Linked DNA regions of Sus scrofa. Each later gene encodes a partner of the first gene's protein in a complex. Links are inferred from orthologs where the notes say so. Each region holds a gene or a part of one and is shown in the gene's direction. Other genes may lie near its edges.

The links. The genes of interacting proteins can lie anywhere in the genome.
Region 2: MED19 (region 1) and MED21 share a complex: the UniProt entries of both Homo sapiens proteins name them as parts of the mediator complex. The link is inferred for Sus scrofa from reciprocal best matches to the Homo sapiens genes MED19 and MED21.
Region 3: MED19 (region 1) and MED31 share a complex: the UniProt entries of both Homo sapiens proteins name them as parts of the mediator complex. The link is inferred for Sus scrofa from reciprocal best matches to the Homo sapiens genes MED19 and MED31.
Region 4: MED19 (region 1) and MED8 share a complex: the UniProt entries of both Homo sapiens proteins name them as parts of the mediator complex. The link is inferred for Sus scrofa from reciprocal best matches to the Homo sapiens genes MED19 and MED8.
Region 5: MED19 (region 1) and MED7 share a complex: the UniProt entries of both Homo sapiens proteins name them as parts of the mediator complex. The link is inferred for Sus scrofa from reciprocal best matches to the Homo sapiens genes MED19 and MED7.

Annotation. Positions count from the first base shown.
Region 1 is NC_010444.4:13,239,895-13,244,110, forward strand, and holds the start of MED19 (mediator of RNA polymerase II transcription subunit 19), read left to right. Parts: upstream 1-1,416; 5' UTR 1,417-1,545; coding exon 1,546-1,813; intron 1,814-4,216. Other genes in the region: TMX2 (thioredoxin-related transmembrane protein 2), read right to left, coding at 953-1,141. UniProt on the Homo sapiens protein: Component of the Mediator complex, a coactivator involved in the regulated transcription of nearly all RNA polymerase II-dependent genes.
Region 2 is NC_010447.5:46,729,909-46,733,381, reverse strand, and holds the end of MED21 (mediator of RNA polymerase II transcription subunit 21), read left to right. Parts: intron 1-827; coding exon 828-942; intron 943-1,493; coding exon 1,494-1,594; intron 1,595-2,498; coding exon 2,499-2,675; 3' UTR 2,676-2,973; downstream 2,974-3,473. UniProt on the Homo sapiens protein: Component of the Mediator complex, a coactivator involved in the regulated transcription of nearly all RNA polymerase II-dependent genes.
Region 3 is NC_010454.4:50,731,681-50,734,969, forward strand, and holds the end of MED31 (mediator of RNA polymerase II transcription subunit 31), read left to right. Parts: intron 1-1,548; coding exon 1,549-1,741; 3' UTR 1,742-2,789; downstream 2,790-3,289. Other genes in the region: TXNDC17 (thioredoxin domain-containing protein 17), read right to left, coding at 3,102-3,170. UniProt on the Homo sapiens protein: Component of the Mediator complex, a coactivator involved in the regulated transcription of nearly all RNA polymerase II-dependent genes.
Region 4 is NC_010448.4:167,864,363-167,866,711, forward strand, and holds part of MED8 (mediator of RNA polymerase II transcription subunit 8), read left to right. Parts: intron 1-43; coding exon 44-188; intron 189-653; coding exon 654-692; intron 693-964; coding exon 965-1,105; intron 1,106-1,297; coding exon 1,298-1,379; intron 1,380-1,900; coding exon 1,901-2,149; intron 2,150-2,349. UniProt on the Homo sapiens protein: Component of the Mediator complex, a coactivator involved in the regulated transcription of nearly all RNA polymerase II-dependent genes.
Region 5 is NC_010458.4:66,117,596-66,121,596, forward strand, and holds the end of MED7 (mediator of RNA polymerase II transcription subunit 7), read left to right. Parts: intron 1-69; 5' UTR 70-142; intron 143-146; exon of another isoform or gene 147-248; intron 249-2,385; 5' UTR 2,386-2,402; coding exon 2,403-3,104; 3' UTR 3,105-3,501; downstream 3,502-4,001. UniProt on the Homo sapiens protein: Component of the Mediator complex, a coactivator involved in the regulated transcription of nearly all RNA polymerase II-dependent genes.

The DNA of each region.
Region 1 (4,216 bases):
CCCTAGCCTGGGAACCTCCATACCCCGCAGGTTCGCCCCCCTGCCCCCCAAATGGATCTTTTGAAGCACCACAGCTATACATGAGCTACTTAATAACACTGGGAAAGAACGGCGGAAGTACGAAAAAGTAAACAAGGGAAGGAGAATAAAAGTAAGGAAGTAAGTTCTGTCAAAAGTCAAGACTCATTCTGGGACCTGGAAAAAAAAAAAGACAAAAACTCAGGAAGGCCCTCCTTCCTCGTAACACAGATTCAGCTATACAGAAGGGGGCACAGAACTTCATCTTATTTTTCTGAGTGGTCCTTCCACTTCTACTTAGGAAGTACTGCAAGAGAGTTCAGATTGATTTCTTTACAATGAATTTTTTTTACAATTCCATTTCAATAGGCCTAAAACTTTATTCATTTTTACATTCTCAGGATGCAGCACAGTGCCTAGCATACAGTCCTCCCTCTGCAGTTGTTAACTGAATTAAAATGACTGATGGTGCTGCTGCTTTGGCCAGAAGAGTGGTTTCAAGTCCCAGCCACTCACTAGTTGTGTGACCTTGGACAAGTCTCCTAACTACGCCGAGATCAATTTCTTCATCAGTGAAACGAGATTACTACTACTTGCCTTGTTTACCTCACTGATTCCTCAAGAGGCTTTACATAACGAGAGCAGCACTGTAAAACAGTGCAGATGCCTCGTTTGGGTAGGTACGAATTGTGAGACGGAAAGGACCTTGGACTCAGGAGTCAGAAGACCCCGGCAGGCTAACTCGCTGTATTCCCATCTTAAACGTGAAGAGGTTTACACTCGACGACCGCCCAGGCTCTAGATTCTTAATAGCTTAAGTCCGCTACAGGTTGGGAACCTCAGGTGTTCTCAAACAGGTGAACCTCGCATCTCGTAGATGCAACCTAGGACAGGGTGTCAAGGTCGCGGGGTCCTAAGGCGGGGGGTCGCTCACCCAGTCAAAGTCACACGGGTTGCCGTCTTCGCGTTGCGTGGGGAGATTGTAGCAGACAGGGGGCAGCTTCCTCACGAGTAGGAAGGCAGCAGAGAGGAGGGCTGACAGAAGGTAGTAAGGTCGGGCCAGCCATCGTGATAGTCGAGGTATCGAATAAATAAGAGCAATTAAAGGCGCGAGAACCGCCATCTTCCCGGCTCTAGCGGCGCCAGCCGCTCCACGGAGTCCGTGAGCCTGGTCCCGCCTCTCCCATCATTGTGCTTCCATTGGGCCTAGTCTCGGATGCACCGCCTCTAGATCCGGAAGCAGATCTCTGACTGGCTTCTGCGTCAGGTTAAAAATGGAGAAAGGGCTTTGATATTTTATTGGCTAATCTAGCTGTCTTTTTTTCCACCTAAATCGTTTTATTGGACATATGCGACTGCGGCAAGTAGGAGATACAGGAGAATTTAAATAAAGTTAAATAGTACTTCCGGAACGTTCTCAGAAGGCGACGGAAGTAGTTGCAGGAAGAAGGTAGGAAGGGCCCGAGGCAACCCAATGGTGAGAGGCTCCTGAAAGAGGAGGGCGGTACTCTGTGAAAAGATTGACCAATGAACGTCACCAACGCCAGACACCGAGACAGCGCCGGGGCGGAGGAGGCGATGGAGAATTTCACGGCGCTGTTCGGAGCTCAGGCTGACCCACCACCGCCCCCGACCGCACTTGGCTTCGGACCTGGAAAACCTCCACCCCCACCGCCTCCTCCTCCGGGCGGGGGGCCGGGCCCCGCCCCGCCCTCTACCGCGGCCACAGCCGCTCCCGGCTCCGACAAGTCAGCGGCCGGTTGTGGCCCCTTCTACCTAATGCGGGAACTGCCGGGTGAGTACAAGGCCTGGTCAAAGCCAGCCAATCAGATCATAGCGAGGAGAGGCGGGGCGTGGCTCTCAGCCTTCCGACTGGGGTGAGGGGTAACCTAGGCAACGCGTGGCGCGATTTCGGAACACTATACTAGAAGAGGTTCTGAGGATTCACAACCGAAAGAATGATTGGAATTGGGATGGATTAGGGGTGGGAAGAGAGTGGATCTCCCTGACCACCTTTCACGCCCGATCCTGCCCCTGACGCTGGTTTTTGACTCCCTAAAGATTATCCTAGCTTTGAGTTTGGTATTTGAGGGTCCTGATTTAACATCCCTGCGGACCCAGTTCCAGATCTGCTTCAAACTTCCTGTTGGTTTGGGACATGTTGTCTTTCTTCCTCTGGGCCTCGGGGTTTCAAAATGTGTTCGAAGAAGTGATTAGAATTAAACCAGGTTCTTTCATTCAAAAAATTATTTTGTTGCGCACCCACTCTGTGTACCAAGCACTCTTCCAATTGCTGAAGATACAGCTGTGAACAAAACTGACAAGATCCTTGCCTGTTTGGGAGTTTACCTGCCAGTGGAGGAGTCAAAGAGTGATAAACAGATATCTGCGGATAAACAGATAGTATCAGATAGTGGTTATGGCTACAAGGGGGAAATGTGATAAAGAATTGAGGGGGCAGAACTGCTTTAGCTAGAGTGATCAGGAGAGCCCTTTCTGAGTAGATAACATTAGAGCTAAAATATAAGCACAAAGGAAGAGCTAGCCATTTATGAGTGGGAGGAGAGAGAACTCTAGATACAAAAAATGAGATTAGAAGGCCCAATGTGAGAATAACCTTGAATATTTGAGGGACAGAAAACCACTTGCACTCCGGGGAAGTGAACAGGGAAAGAGCGATAGGAGATGAAGGTGGGAGAGTAGGCAGAGGCCTCTATAAGACATTTTAAGTTCAGGGGGAACCATTTTGACACAAGAGTCTGAAGTGATCTAACTTCTAACTTATTTGCTTATTTTCAATCATTCGAGCAGCTCTATTAAGGAAGCAAAGTGGGGGAGTTCCCGTCATAGCACAGCAGAAATGAATCCGACTAGGAAGCATGAGGTTGTGGGTTTGATCCCTAGCCTCACTCAGTGGGTTAAGGATCCAGTGTTGTCCTGTGCTGTGGTGTAGGTTGCAGACGCAGCACAGCTCTAGCATTGCTGTGGCTCTGGTGTAGGCCGGCACCTGTAGCTCTGATTTGACCCTTAGCCTGGGAACCTCCATATGCCTTGGGTGCTGCCCTTAAAAAAAAAGAAGAAAAGTGGGAAAATTGGTCAGAAGTTACAGCTTAGTAGTTCAGGAAAGAGATGATAGTTTGAACTAGGAAATAGCAGTAGAGGAGAGAAGTAAATGGATGCCAAATAAATGTTAGAGGTAGAACTGACAGGAATGCAGGATTGAAAATAGAATTGAAGGACAGAGGAATTGAGGGCAGTTTGGAAATGTTTGGCTTGAATAATTAGGTGGATGGTAGTGCTAAGATCAGGAAAGGACAGGTTTGAGGAGATGGATATCAAGTCATTTTGGACATGTTAAGTCTCCAGGATGACATTTAGTTCATCCCAAGTCCTACTGCTACATCAAGAGCTGAAGGAGGGGAGTTCCTGTCACGGCTCAGAGGAAACGAATCTGACTGGTATCCATGAGGACACAGGTTCGATCCCTGGCCTTGCTCAATGGGTTAAGGATCCGGCGTTGCTGTGGCTGTGATTGTAGGCCAGTGGCTACAGCTCCCATTCAACCCCTAGCCTAGGAACTTACATATGCCACAAATGCAGCCCTAAGAGAGTAAAGATTTAAAAAAAAAAAAAAAAAGAGCTGAAGAAGGAGTTCCTACTGTGGCCTAGCCAGTTAAGGATCTGGCATTGCCACAGCTGTAGCAATAGGTTGCAGCTTCGGCTTGGATTCGATTCCTGGCCTTAGAACTTCCTTGTACCATGGGTATGGCCCAAAAATATCTGAGGGAAATGATTTGTTACAGACCTTGAAATTCACAGTGCAGTTAGATATGTTTTAGTGTTTAATACTTACAATAGCCCCTTGAAATAGGCATTGTTATCTGCTTTTTAAAGCTGAAAAACTAAAGCATAGAGAGGTTGACTTGACTTTAGTTAGTGATTGATGTCTACCAGCAGTTTATTTAACCTTAACTTATTTTGATTGTACCTATTTACATTAATCACTTGAATATCTGTTCTGGGCAAATCCTGGGTATAAAGGAGACATATGATGAGAAGAGGAGAGAGATGAGTAAGCCTGGTCCTTGTATTTTTTTTTTTTTTTTTTTTTGTCTTTTTTTGCTATTTCTTGGGCGGCTCCCACAGCATATGGAGGTTCCCAGGCCAGGAGTCCAATCGGAGCTGTAGCCAGAGCCAC
Region 2 (3,473 bases), on another chromosome or scaffold:
GGTTTCAGTAAGGGTTTGTTATTCTTGACCTTTAGAACTTTTAGAGCACTAGAAGTTTATAGCTTGAGTCCTGGAGAAAAAAATTTTGTTTTGTTGTTTTGGTCTTTTTTATTTAGGGCTGTACCAGCAGCATACAGAAGTTCCCGGGCTAGGGGTCAAATTGGAGCTGTAGCTGCCGGCTTATACCATAGCACAGCCACAGCCACTCTAGGTCTGAGTTGCATCTGCCGCCTGCACCACAGCTCGTGGCAACACTGGATCCTTAACCCACTGAGTGAGGTCAGGGGTTGAACCTGCATACTCATGGATACTAGTCAGGTTCATTACTGCTGAGCCACAATAAGAACTCCCAAGAAAAACATTTTGGAATACTTAAGGTGTGGTCTTTCTCCCACCATTTCTTTATAGTTGTAATTACTCTGGTTTCAGAAAAGGAATCATATGCCTTGGAGTCAAATTTTAAAATTTACCCTGGGGTAAATTTTAGATATTTGCCTGTCAGATTTGCTTTTTTCTACCACTGTTGCGCTAAAAGTCTTAACTTGTGCTTGCAATCAGTATTGGCATATATTTCTGTTATCATTCTGTTATCTCGGGAAGAAAAATAATTATTTTGTGTTTCTCTTTAACTGTTGCAACTAAATAAATGCCAAAGGAAGTTTCTTTGCATGATTAAAATATTTCGTTGTTAGTAACTGGCTTAATCCAGGATTTATCATATTTTATTCTCTTGCTCAGTGATCATTATAGAAACATCATCAATGCCAATAAAATCCTGAAAGCTGATAAATCCTTTCTAATTTTGCCACATTTCTTTTGGCCTGTAGCTTGCAGATCAGTTTTGTAATGCCATTGGAGTGTTGCAGCAGTGTGGTCCTCCTGCCTCTTTCAGTAATATTCAGACAACCATTAACAAAGATCAGCCAGCTAATCCTACAGAAGGTAAATAGATTTTTTTTTTTTTTTGGCTTCTTTTAATTTGACTCTCCCTCATTGCCTTTAATCCCATAAAATTAGATTTATTGAAAAATTCATCTTATTCACGGCTTTCTAAAAATGTTATTGTTAGAGAATGTTACTACAAGTTTGTCATAAAAGAAATAAATTTTTGTTAGTTTATATAACACCTCGTAGTTCTTTTTATGTTAAATAATGGATTTTTTACTCCTTTAGAGGAGAATTATATGAATTTAGCTGAATTTTACTTCAGGGACCTTAATAAGAAAGGCATCTCATAAATTCCTTTATTCAAATGATCATCAAATTGTCCTGATACATAATGTACATTATGCTTGATTCCTAACTTGAGTTAATGTTAAAGCTGATTCTCAAACATGTAATAGGATTAATGTGTTAAAATTACACCTTAATCATTAGAAGCCTAGGACAGAAAAAGTTAAGAAGTTTTTTTGTTTCATTAACTTAAAATTTGATTGCTGTTTCTATAAACTTGAGGTTCTCAAATACCCTAAATGAGTACAATCTTTCTCTAGAATATGCCCAGCTATTTGCAGCGCTGATTGCACGAACGGCAAAAGACATTGATGTTTTGATAGATTCCTTACCCAGTGAAGAATCTACAGCTGCTTTACAGGTAAAAATCTCTTTTTCTGGAGTTCCCCGTTGTGGCTCAGAAGTAGTGAACCTAACTAGTATCCATGAGGATTCGGGTTCAGTCCTTAGCCTAACTCAGTGGGTTAAGGATCTGGCATTGTGGTGAGCTGTGTGTTGGTCGCAGATTCGGCTTGGATCCTGTGTTGCTGTGGCTGTGGTGTAGGCTGGAAGCTGCAGCTCTGATTTGACTACTAGCCTGGGAGCTTCCATATGGTTCAGATGCATTTGAATTAAAGGAGATAGCTTTAGTACCCTTTTTCCTTTTTTAAAGAAATTTTTTTTTTTTTTTAATTTTTGGCTGTGCCTATGCCATGTAAAAGTTCCCAGGCCAGGGATTAAACCTGTTCCACAGCAGTGACCTGGCCTGCTACAGTGAGATCTGTATCCCACTGTGCCACAAGAGAACCCCTTTAATTCCTTTTATTATAATATTAAAAGGTACTCTCAATTTTAAAATGGGAATTTTATTGGAAACTACTGTAGTCTATTAAAGACTGCACTGAATATGTATAGTTGTCCAATTTTGAGTTATGAGGAAACTTCCCATTTTCCTCAGTTTGATTCTTTTCCTTGGAAAGAGTGAGAGGAAGGTAGCATTCCGGACGTGGAATAGAGCATAGTGTCTAAAAGCAGTGTGGAAAGGAGTCTCCTATAGCAATCTAGAGAGCTCTCATTGAAAAGTCATCTTTTAAATAGTTCATACAGGGAAAATTCTCAAGTTATATCTGATCTGAGGATTTATGCCACTGAAAAATCTATCACAGTGGTTGCACAGTCATCCAGATTTAGAAGTAGGTACTTCCACTGCAGTTTATTTCCTTAGAAGGAAATAATCTCCAAGTTTTTCATTTGTCAAAAGATTCTTAAATTTATGTCTTATAAAGGCTGCCAGCTTGTATAAGCTAGAAGAAGAAAATCATGAAGCTGCTACATGTCTGGAGGATGTTGTTTATCGAGGGGATATGCTTCTGGAAAAGATACAGAGTGCCCTTGCTGATATTGCGCAGTCACAGCTGAAGACAAGAAGTGGTACCCACAGCCAGTCTCTTCCAGACTCATAGCACCAGTGTACATATCATGTGGCCAAGAAGAGAACTATTTCAGTGCCGTTAAGAATTCTACATCAGATTTAGATGTAAGCCTTATCGATAGTTAGAGAAACATTAAGCACTATGACACGTTATCTTTTTAGCTATTTTTAATAGTCTTCTATTTTCATTTTTAATAAATAAGCTTGTAAAATTGTGATTGAACCAGCTTTAAACTGTCATTATGCTATTATTTTGTATTTTGAGTGAAATTATTGAGGCAGATATTGCACTTACAGTCAGAATATAATTAAACAGATGTACTATAGAATTCTATTGTGACATAATTTGTCTTTATTTTTGTCCTGTTTCTACAGCCTGTACAAGTGAAAACATCCCCCAAGCTAGAGAAGAAGATGGTAAATGCAGAAATGGTGGATATTTGAATTTAGGTTGATATCCTTCTGCCTCTTTAAAAGTGACATTGTAGAGTTCTGGTGCAGTGGATCGGGGATCTAGTGTTGTCACTGCAGTGGCTTGTGTCACTGCTGTGGCAAGGGTTCAGTCCCTGGCCCTGGAACTTCTGCATGCCACGGGCACAGCCAAAAAGAAAAAAATAAAATAAAGGTGACATTGTATAAATTTGGAGCTGGAGCAAGGAATGGTTCTGAAAACCACATTGCTTTTTAAGAAGCAGAGAGTGTGGCCAGATGAAAGATTAAGTCACTTTTGTGGAAGCTTTTTCTTCTTTTTCTTTCTTTCTTTTTTTTTTTTTTTTTTTTTGGTCTTTTTGCCATTTCTTGGGCTGCTCCTGCGGCATATGGAGGTTCC
Region 3 (3,289 bases), on another chromosome or scaffold:
AGTGAGGCCGGGGGTCGAATCTGAGTCCTCATGGATGCTAGTTGGGTTCGTTAACCATTGAGCCACGATGGGAACTCCTCTGTGGTGATGCCTTTTTTTTTTCTTTTTTTGTCTTTTCACACCCATACCTGCAGCATATGGAGGTTCCCAGGCTAGGGGTCTAATTGGAGCTGTAGCCTCGACCTACACCACAGCCACAGCAACGCGGGATCCGAGCTGTGTCTGCGACCTACACTACAGCTCACCCCCCTGGCAACACCGGATCCTTAACCCACTGAGCGAGGCCAGGGATCAAACCCGCAACCTCATGGTTCCTAGTCGGATTTGTTAGCCACTGTGCCACAACGGGACCTCCTGTGGTGATATTCTTGATTCCATCATTCTCTGTTCATTTATTAGTTGGAATTCACTTGAAGGAACGTTTCCTTGTTTCTGATTTCTTTCTTCATTTTAAAAGGTTAAATCAATATGGATTCTTTATCTTGTGGATTGTAATTTTTTATTTTCTTATGCTAGTGATCCCAGATGTAGCCAGTGGGAACCCCTTCAAATTGGCTCTTGAGGACTTTTGACATAGCCGCCTAATCTTTAGAGCATTTTCCTTTCTGGCACTACATATATTCCAGGCTCATCTTGTTCTTTCCCTGTGTTAGCTATGCCAACAAACCCTGGATAATGCTATTTAAAACCCACGACCTGGATACTCAGTGTACTCTTGGTACTGGAGTGCCATTGCTTCTAGGCCTTCTCTGCACGTAAAGCAAGGAACAGTGTGTGTGTGTGTGTGTGTGTGTGTGTGTGTGTGTGTGTGTGTGTGTGTGTCTATGTGTCTATTTCTGTATCTGTCTCTATATGTTAAAAGCCACTCAGTTCATACTGATGTTTTCAATTCCAGCTCAACAACAGGATTCTTTCTAGCCTCCCCCCTTCCTTATCTGAGATTCCTTTCCTGAGAGCTGGATATTTGGCTATTTACAGTGTACATACTTATGTATTTGCTCAATCTTAGCATATATGTACATAATTTCAAAATTGTTATATCCCTATGGAAAACTAGGATACAATATTTGTGCATAGTTCTTTCTGAAACTGACTCACTTTTAAAATAAAAGCTGTCTTTTTATCATTATTTATGGAAAACCAATAGGTGTTAATTAAACCCACAATTACTAAAATAAATAGTGTTCATGTTTATCACCTTGAAAACCACTGGAATAGAATAGCATGATTTGCCCCCAAATGTTGACTGTTTACCAGTTATTGTGTAGTCTTAGGCAAGTTATTTAATCTTTCTAAATTTAAGTTTGCTCACTTTTGAAAATTTTGCTGGCTTTTGATGATAAGCTTTTCTGTATAAGCAAAAAAAAAAAAAAAAGAACTGTACTATCAAGATAGACTAAGTTAATGTTAGGTTGCAGGATCATCTGGTATGGTAACACAAATGATACCGTAGAAATGGTAGGCTGCAGGATCGTTTTTGAATAACAACTAGAGCATGGTGTTATTGACTTAATTATGTTGATAATTAACTTATAAACTTAACCCCAGGTACCCTCAGTGTTTACACATGTTAGAACTGCTCCAATATGAACACTTCCGCAAGGAGCTGGTGAATGCTCAATGTGCAAAATTCATTGATGAGCAGCAAATTCTGCATTGGCAGCACTATTCCCGGAAGCGGATGCGCCTTCAGCAAGCCCTGGCAGAGCAGCAACAGCAAAATAACACATCAGGAAAGTGAAAAGCTGATCCAGACCAGGCTCTTACGACATGTATATATTGCTTTTGTACATGAAGACAGAAAAAGACTCTTGCTCCGAACCTTTATTGTGACAGCACCCAGAACCGATAGTGTGCTATTTAATTGAACTAATTTTTTATTCTCAATAGATTATTTCTTTTAAACTAGAATTGTTCTTTCTCTGTGGATCTGTAAGCTTTCATTAGTATTTAATAGTCAACTGACTAAGAGTAGAAATGTTAGGTGCTTCAGACCAATTTTAGAGTTGGGGAGCTGGGGCAAGGGGAGAGCCACCAAATATCCCAAAGTTTAAGCAAAACTGTTCATGATGAACAGTGGGACCAGGGGCAAATCTGTCTCTAGGAACCTTGCTGTCCCCTCAGATCAGCTACGGCACCCTTCTAAGGAGTGAGAGAAGTGGAATCAGTGACCTCTACACATCAAAGCAGGAACTGCATAAATTTCCTACATTCTGCAGGGCAGGAGGCATACCTGGAGCACCAGCTACTTTGCAGGAGAGCCTTAAGGGAGAATTGAGGTCAGGGAGTGTTTGTGGTTAATTACTAATAGGACTCTCGACCTTAGACTATAACAAAGGTGAGGTGCCTCAGATACTTGTGCTCATTTGGGAAAGCTAACTTTTTTTTTTTGGCAGATACCACAAACCAGGCACTATGTTAAGTGCTTAGTTGCATTCTCATTTTATCCTTAGAACAGTCCTTGTTCATAAAGGAGAACACTTAGGTGTAGACAAGTTAGGAACCTTGCCTGTGGTTACACAGCTAGTAGGTGATAGTCAGTGAGACTGGCTAAAAGGCTAGGTTATATGGCCTCCCACCACTAGGTTGTATGGCTTCTGACCTCTCCGCCACCTGCCTCATCCCGCACAATCAGACAGCTGTAAAACAAAAGCAGGGGCTGGATTAGATGTGCCTTGCTATCCTTCAGTGGTTAGATTAAGTTCTACATTCTAAAGCCAAAGATGTTTTAGGATAACAGTTCTTTTGTAAGTTCATGGAATTTAAAGTAAAAGATCCTAACTTCTTTAGAAGTCTGGAAACTATCTTCTTCACTATCAGCGGCTTTTAGATATTTCTGCCCATCTCCAATAATATCCTCCCCTTTGGGCTACTACTGCTACTCCTGAAGACTTAGTTTATCCTTAGTTCAAACATATCCATATATTAAAGCAGACTAAGGGTTCATGAGCATTTTAATTGTACTCTCTATTATTTAGACATACACAGTTTTTCTTTTAATCATCATTTATTTATTGCTAACATGAATTCAAAGCAAGTGTGCAGTTTCTTTTATACTAGAGCAAATCAGGAAATCAAGACACAATTGCCATCATCAAATCTTACTCTTCAGAGAACAACATCTCCACGAGGTTGGTCTGAAGACACTCAGATTCTACCAGTTTTTGAGGCTGTAAAAGAAGAACAGTCTTATTTTAACCCATCACTACAAAAATGTTATTAGGAGGGGAATGAGTTCTGCCTTGAATGACACAGATCTTGGAACAGAAATTATCAACTAGTTGTAACA
Region 4 (2,349 bases), on another chromosome or scaffold:
CTACTTTCCTGAGCACGTTCTGACACCTTCTTACCACCACCAGGCCGTCTGTCCTGGACAGCTTTGCCTTGCTTTCCGGACAGTTAAACACTCTGAACAAAGTCTTGAAGCATGAAAAGACACCGCTGTTCCGTAACCAGGTCATCATCCCTCTGGTGCTGTCCCCAGACCGAGATGAAGACCTCATGGTAAGAGGCAGAGGGTGCAACTTGGGCAGTTGAATCCTTAGACGAGGACTTAGAGCACAGCTGTTGGGCGGCTCTTCTGGAAGTTCTGAATGTGCAGTAGGACGTCACCATGAGAAGTGAGACCTGGGAGTTCCCATCGTGGCTCAGTGGGTTAGGAACCCGACTGGCATCCATGAGGATGCGGGTTTGATCCCTGGCCTTGCTCTGGGTTAAGGATCTGCTGTTGCCGCGAGCTGTGGTGTAGGTTGCAGAGGCGCCTGGGATCTGGCGTGGCTGTGGCTGTGGCGTAGGCCAGCGGCTGTAGCTCTGATTGGACCCCTAGCCTGGGAACCTCTGTATGCCGTGGGTGCGGCCCTAGGAAGAAAAAAAGAAAATCAGTGAGGGCTGCATTTTGATTGTGGAGCCCTTGCTTTTTCCTTCTGGAGTTGGGAGAGCCACTCCTAAATAGCATTGAATTTACTCCAGGTCTGCATCACCAGGGCCGACACAGTTCTCGAACAAAAAGTATGTTCTTTTGTGACGTTCTCTCTTTCGGTCTTTGATGAAAGTGTGGCAGAGGGAGGTTTATCCCTGGGTCCCGTAGAGGTGGGGATGGGAGGAGACAGAAATGAAGGCTGGAGTGAGGGGAACAGTGTCCTGGAAAAAGCCGGATATTGTAAGTGTCTGGTTGTTTTCCCTGAAAGTGCAGTGTCTGTCTGGAGAAGGAACGATGTGTGTATCAGGCAAGAGGGAGCCTTCCTGGCCGGCACAGTAGATGAGTAAAATCTGTGTTACAGCGGCAGACGGAAGGACGGGTGCCTGTGTTTAGCCATGAGGTGGTCCCTGACCATCTGAGAACGAAGCCTGACCCTGAGGTGGAAGAGCAAGAGAAGCAGCTGACCACGGACGCTGCCCGCATCGGTGCTGATGCGGCTCAGGTGGGACTGGGTCACTGCCCTGCTGCCCCCTACCCCAGGTTTTATCCTGGGAAGCTGGGCGTTCTCCCTGCTCCTGGTAGGGATGTACAGTTGGTTTCACCCAGGTTGCCCTCGAAAGAGCACAAGGAAGAAACCTCCCTGGAATCATTTCTTGCTTGCCCTAATCTCTGCACACATTTATGTGTTTTACAGAAGCAGATCCAGAGCTTGAATAAAATGTGCTCAAACCTTCTGGAGAAAATCAGCAAAGAGGAACGAGAATCAGAGGGTGGAGGTACGGAGGGAGCGGCGGCAGAGCGGAGGAGGGAAGAGGGCTGAGGTCACTGGAGGAGGCAGGGTGGGTTTTTGTTTGTTTTTGTTTTTGTTTTTATTTGGCCACACCTGCAGCACACAGACGTTTCCGGGCCAGGGATGGAACCGGTGCCACAGCAGCGACCCAAGCCGCTGCGGTGACAACCCCGGATCCTGAACCCACTGTGCCACGGGAGAACTGTGGAAGGGCGGTTTCGGTCGTGGTGCAGGGGGGACGTCAGGCTGTGCTGCTTCGGAAAGAGCCTGCGTGCATTCGTCAGCCTTTTACACTCACGGCTGGCCTGGAGCAGGTGGAGGAGGTGGGCCCAGGGGGCAGGGAGGAGTCAGGTGGTCCGGGGGTCCTCCGGCTCTGCCTCGGAGCTGCCCGGGAGTCCAGGTGCTGCCGAAGTCAGAGCTCCGAGCCCCGGCACTCACACTGGTCTGTGCTGCTCAGTCCGTCCGGGCCAGAGGCGTACCTCAGGGTCCCCTCGCCTTTTGCTTCAGGTCTCCGGCCGAACAAGCAGACCTTTAACCCAGCAGACACTAACGCCTTAGTGGCAGCCGTTGCCTTTGGGAAGGGACTGTCTAACTGGAGGCCTTCAGGCAGCAGTGGTCCCGGCCAGCCGGGCCAGCCGGGCGCCGGGACAGTCCTCGCAGGAGCCTCAGGGTTACAGCAGGTGCAGATGGCCGGAGCGCCAAGTCAGCAGCAGCCGATGCTCAGTGGGGTGCAGATGGCCCAAGCAGGTCAGCCAGGTAAGGTGACAGGGGTTGGCATGGTGGCAGACCTTGGGCAGGGGATGGGAGTGAGCTGGGTTATCTAGGCCCCCAGCAGCTGGAGATGTTCTCCTCTCCTCCCTTGGACTGTGACCCAGAACAAGTTTGAGGAGTAAAGCTCTCATTCGAGCCTCCGTTTATAATAGGCAGCAGGCAGTGAGGAAGACCTCTGACTAGCA
Region 5 (4,001 bases), on another chromosome or scaffold:
GAACAGGTGTAGGGTGTGGGTATATACGGTAGATGGAATCAGAGAACTTTTTTTTTTTTTCTTTTCTAGTTTGAAACATCCAGAAGGAGCCCAGACGCAGTCTGGAGATAAAAAACCAAGAGTTAACAGAAAGACATTTACCGTATGTCTTCTGGTGGGCAAAATCATGCCTGGTTGAGAACCACTGTAGAAATGGTATTTAAAGCTGTGGAATTGACTGAGACCATCCAAGGGAGAACACGAAACAGGTCTAAAATTACTGATCAGCAGGCAACAACGATTGTTACAGATAATTCTTTTTGACCTCGCAGTACTTGACAATTTCTGGAATTAATTGCCAGTATTTTTAAAACTTGAGAGATTTCATGTAAAAATATGGGGGTTTGCCCTTGAAACATCAAGAAACTGAGAAACAATGAATCTTCTTTCCCACATGAATGCTAGTGGCAGGAAGCTTTCAAGTCTGGCAGGCAGATGCTCAGTTTGCCCTAATCCCTGCCTCAGAGTGCTTCACTCTTTATATTGCCTGCCTTTTCCCTTTGGTATTTGAGTTTGTGATTCTCATTTAGGGCAGCCCTCTGAGGCATGCCAACATTAAAATTTGGATAGAGAAGAAAGGGCGGTAAAGGATACTGAGAAGGAGTGGCCAGTGGGGTAGAGGAAAATGAAAATGTAGGATCACTGAAGCTGGAGGAGAAGCGGAGTGTATTGCAAATTAAGGAAATGCTGCTGAGAGTTTTGACTAGTATTCATGAGGATGCAGGTTCAATCCCTGGCCTTGCTTAGTGGATTATGGATCTGGCATTGCCACAAACTGGTATAGGTCTCATATCCAGCGTGGCTGTGGCTGACAGCTGCAGCTCTGATTCGACCTCTAGCCTGGGACTTATATATGCCGCAGGTGCGGCCATTAAAAAAAAAAAAAAAAAAAAAAAAAGAGAATGCTAAGAGATTAAGATCCCCTTAAAGTCCATGGGATTTGGTCATGTGGAGATTGTTGATGACCTTGATGAGTAGTTTTTGTGGAGGTAGGAGGTTGATACCATACTGGGTAGTGACAAAATGAATGAGGGGAAGGCTGGTACAGCAGTAATTGTGGTTGGTTTAGTTCGAGTAACTCATGATGCCCACGGCCACTGCCTCACTGACTCTCAGCAGCATCTTGTTCGTCACCTCTGTGGCTTGGTGGAAACTTGGAGCTACTGGGCAGCTGCCTTTAGTACCTCATACATTCCAAGTATAAAACGGCATCCAGTATTTTACCTGTTATCTCTGACGTTGGGTGGTGTCATATCTTTTTTTTTTTTTTCCTTTTTAGGGTCACACCTGCAGCATATGGAAATTCCCAGGTTAGGGGTCGAATTGTAGCTGCAGATGCTGGCCTGTACCACAGCAGCACCAGATCATAGCTGAGTCTGCGACTTCCACCATAGCTCACAGCAATGCCAGATCCTTAACCTACTGAGCGAGGCCAGGGATCGAACCTGAGTCCTCATGGATACTAGTCGGGCTCATTACCACTGAGCCACAATGGGAACTTCCAGTGTTATGTCTTGAAAATCTGATAAGATCAGTCTAAGTGAGCACTCGAGATCTTACCATTTTTTTTTTTGATATACCTAAGCTTAAAATGGAATAAATAGAGGTTATTGTGGCTCTTGAAGATATATTTGGATTTGAAATTTCTTTAGTGGATGTAGAAAAGTTAACGTGTCTATAAAAAATAGTTGAGTACATTGCAGAAAAAGAGGGTATGGAATTGGGTCATTTTATCAAAAAAGCACAGACGATGTGAACTTGTCTGGAATATAGCAATTTTAATTTTGTCAAGGTGTTTCTTAGACCATAAGTTAGCGTTTGCTTTTGGAAATGCATCTATAATATAAAATAAAAGTGTTGTAACCTCAGCTGGGGAGACAGCATGTGTAGTTGACTATAAAGAGAGGTAGAGAAATAGGGCATAACTGGTGAGGGGTGTGGAAACCAGAAGATTTCCTTTATAGCTGAAAATACAATCAACTCTTGAACAACTCAAGAGATTAGGGGTGCCTCCCCTCTGTGCAATTGGAAACCTGAGTATAGATTTTCCAGTTCCAACCTGTGTTCAAGGGTCATCTGTATGCTACAGTATATTTTTTGTGCCTGTGAAAGTATTAGGTAGAAAAGAAAAGAAAAAAAATCTGGATAGTTGAGTATATAATGCTAATTAGAAAAGGATGGCAGCCTTTCTGTGTTATAAATGTTAGTTTTAGAAATAAAAGAACTCTTTTTGTCCTGGGCCCCAAACTGCCGTGAGAAAAAAAGGGAAATAACCTTGTTTGTAGTCACTAAGTGTGGCAGGTTTGTTCTGTAGCTCTACTCTCAATCTTCGGTCTGTTTCTGTAGGTTTGTGATCTTCTGCAATGGGTGAGCCACAGCAAGTGAGTGCCCTTCCGCCACCTCCGATGCAGTACATCAAGGAATACACAGATGAAAACATTCAGGAAGGCCTCGCTCCCAAGCCTCCACCTCCAATAAAAGACAGTTACATGATGTTTGGCAACCAGTTCCAATGTGATGATCTTATCATCCGCCCTTTGGAAAGTCAGGGTATCGAACGGCTTCATCCTATGCAGTTTGATCACAAGAAAGAACTGAGAAAACTCAATATGTCTATCCTTATTAATTTCTTAGATCTCTTAGATATCTTGATAAGGAGTCCTGGGAGTATAAAACGGGAAGAGAAGCTAGAAGATCTTAAGCTGCTTTTTGTGCATGTACATCATCTCATAAATGAATACCGGCCCCACCAAGCCAGAGAGACCCTGAGAGTCATGATGGAGGTGCAGAAGCGGCAACGCCTTGAGACAGCAGAGAGGTTTCAGAAGCATCTGGAACGAGTCATTGAGATGATTCAGAATTGCTTGGCTTCTTTGCCTGATGACTTGCCCCATTCAGAAGCAGGGATGAGAGTAAAAGCTGAACCAATGGACGCTGATGATAGCAACAATTGTACTGGACAGAGTGACCAACAAAGAGAAAATTCAGGTCATAGGAGAGACCAGATTATAGAGAAAGATGCTGCCTTGTGTGTCCTCATTGATGAAATGAATGAAAGACCGTGAAAGATGTTTCTTTTCCTTGCTGATTTTTTCCTTTCAGTAAATAGCATATATATTAGTTAATTCACTTTTAGAGAATTCTTTGAAGAGATACAACTAGTAGAAGGCACGCGAACAGCTTGACTCTCCAGCTTTATCAGTTGTGGGACGTCACAGGCAGTATTTTCGTCTGTGGCAAGCATAGCTAGATTCCTACTTAGCTTAAATGTAGTGCCCCAGTGAGAGTAATCACCGTGAAGGGCAGTGTTCGCTGCTATTGGGTGGAACGTCCCTGTTTTCAGAGGTGCAGTGAGCTGGAAGATATCCTCAGTAATTGCAAGCTTTCGTCCTTGGAAAGTAGATTTGTCATTTGCTTTAAGAGTGATAAATAATAAAGGATATCAAACTATGTAAATGTGAACTTAGGAAATCTTTTGATTTATTCCTCTTAAAAGATGGCTTAATCTCTTTAAAAAAAAATAGTGTTACATGTTAAAAGAGAGAAACCCCATAAGAGTTATAAAACAGTAATTTTATTTTTCCTCTTGACTGCGCCTTATAAATATTCTATCCCAGCCTCTTGGTCCTTATTCTGGATGGGTTCCAGAACTTTCTTCTGGCCACTGTGACAAGTCCTTTGATCACTTATAGTTATATTCACTTTAATAATTAAGGTGCCCATACATTACATTTCCTAAACTTGGAGTTGCTTAAGGCTGGAAGCCTGCTATGGGTAGGGGGCTTGGTGGCAGAGACTGCTGGATGTCCACTGGAGATTCTTGCTCCCCTGAGATGTGCTGCCCTGCCAGGGACTTCATTTCTCCATTCCCCTTGCATATCTGTGAGGCCACGTGACTGAGTTCTTAACAGTGAAATATGGTGTAAAAATCTAGGCCTGCCCCATAAAAATTTTTTGCCTCG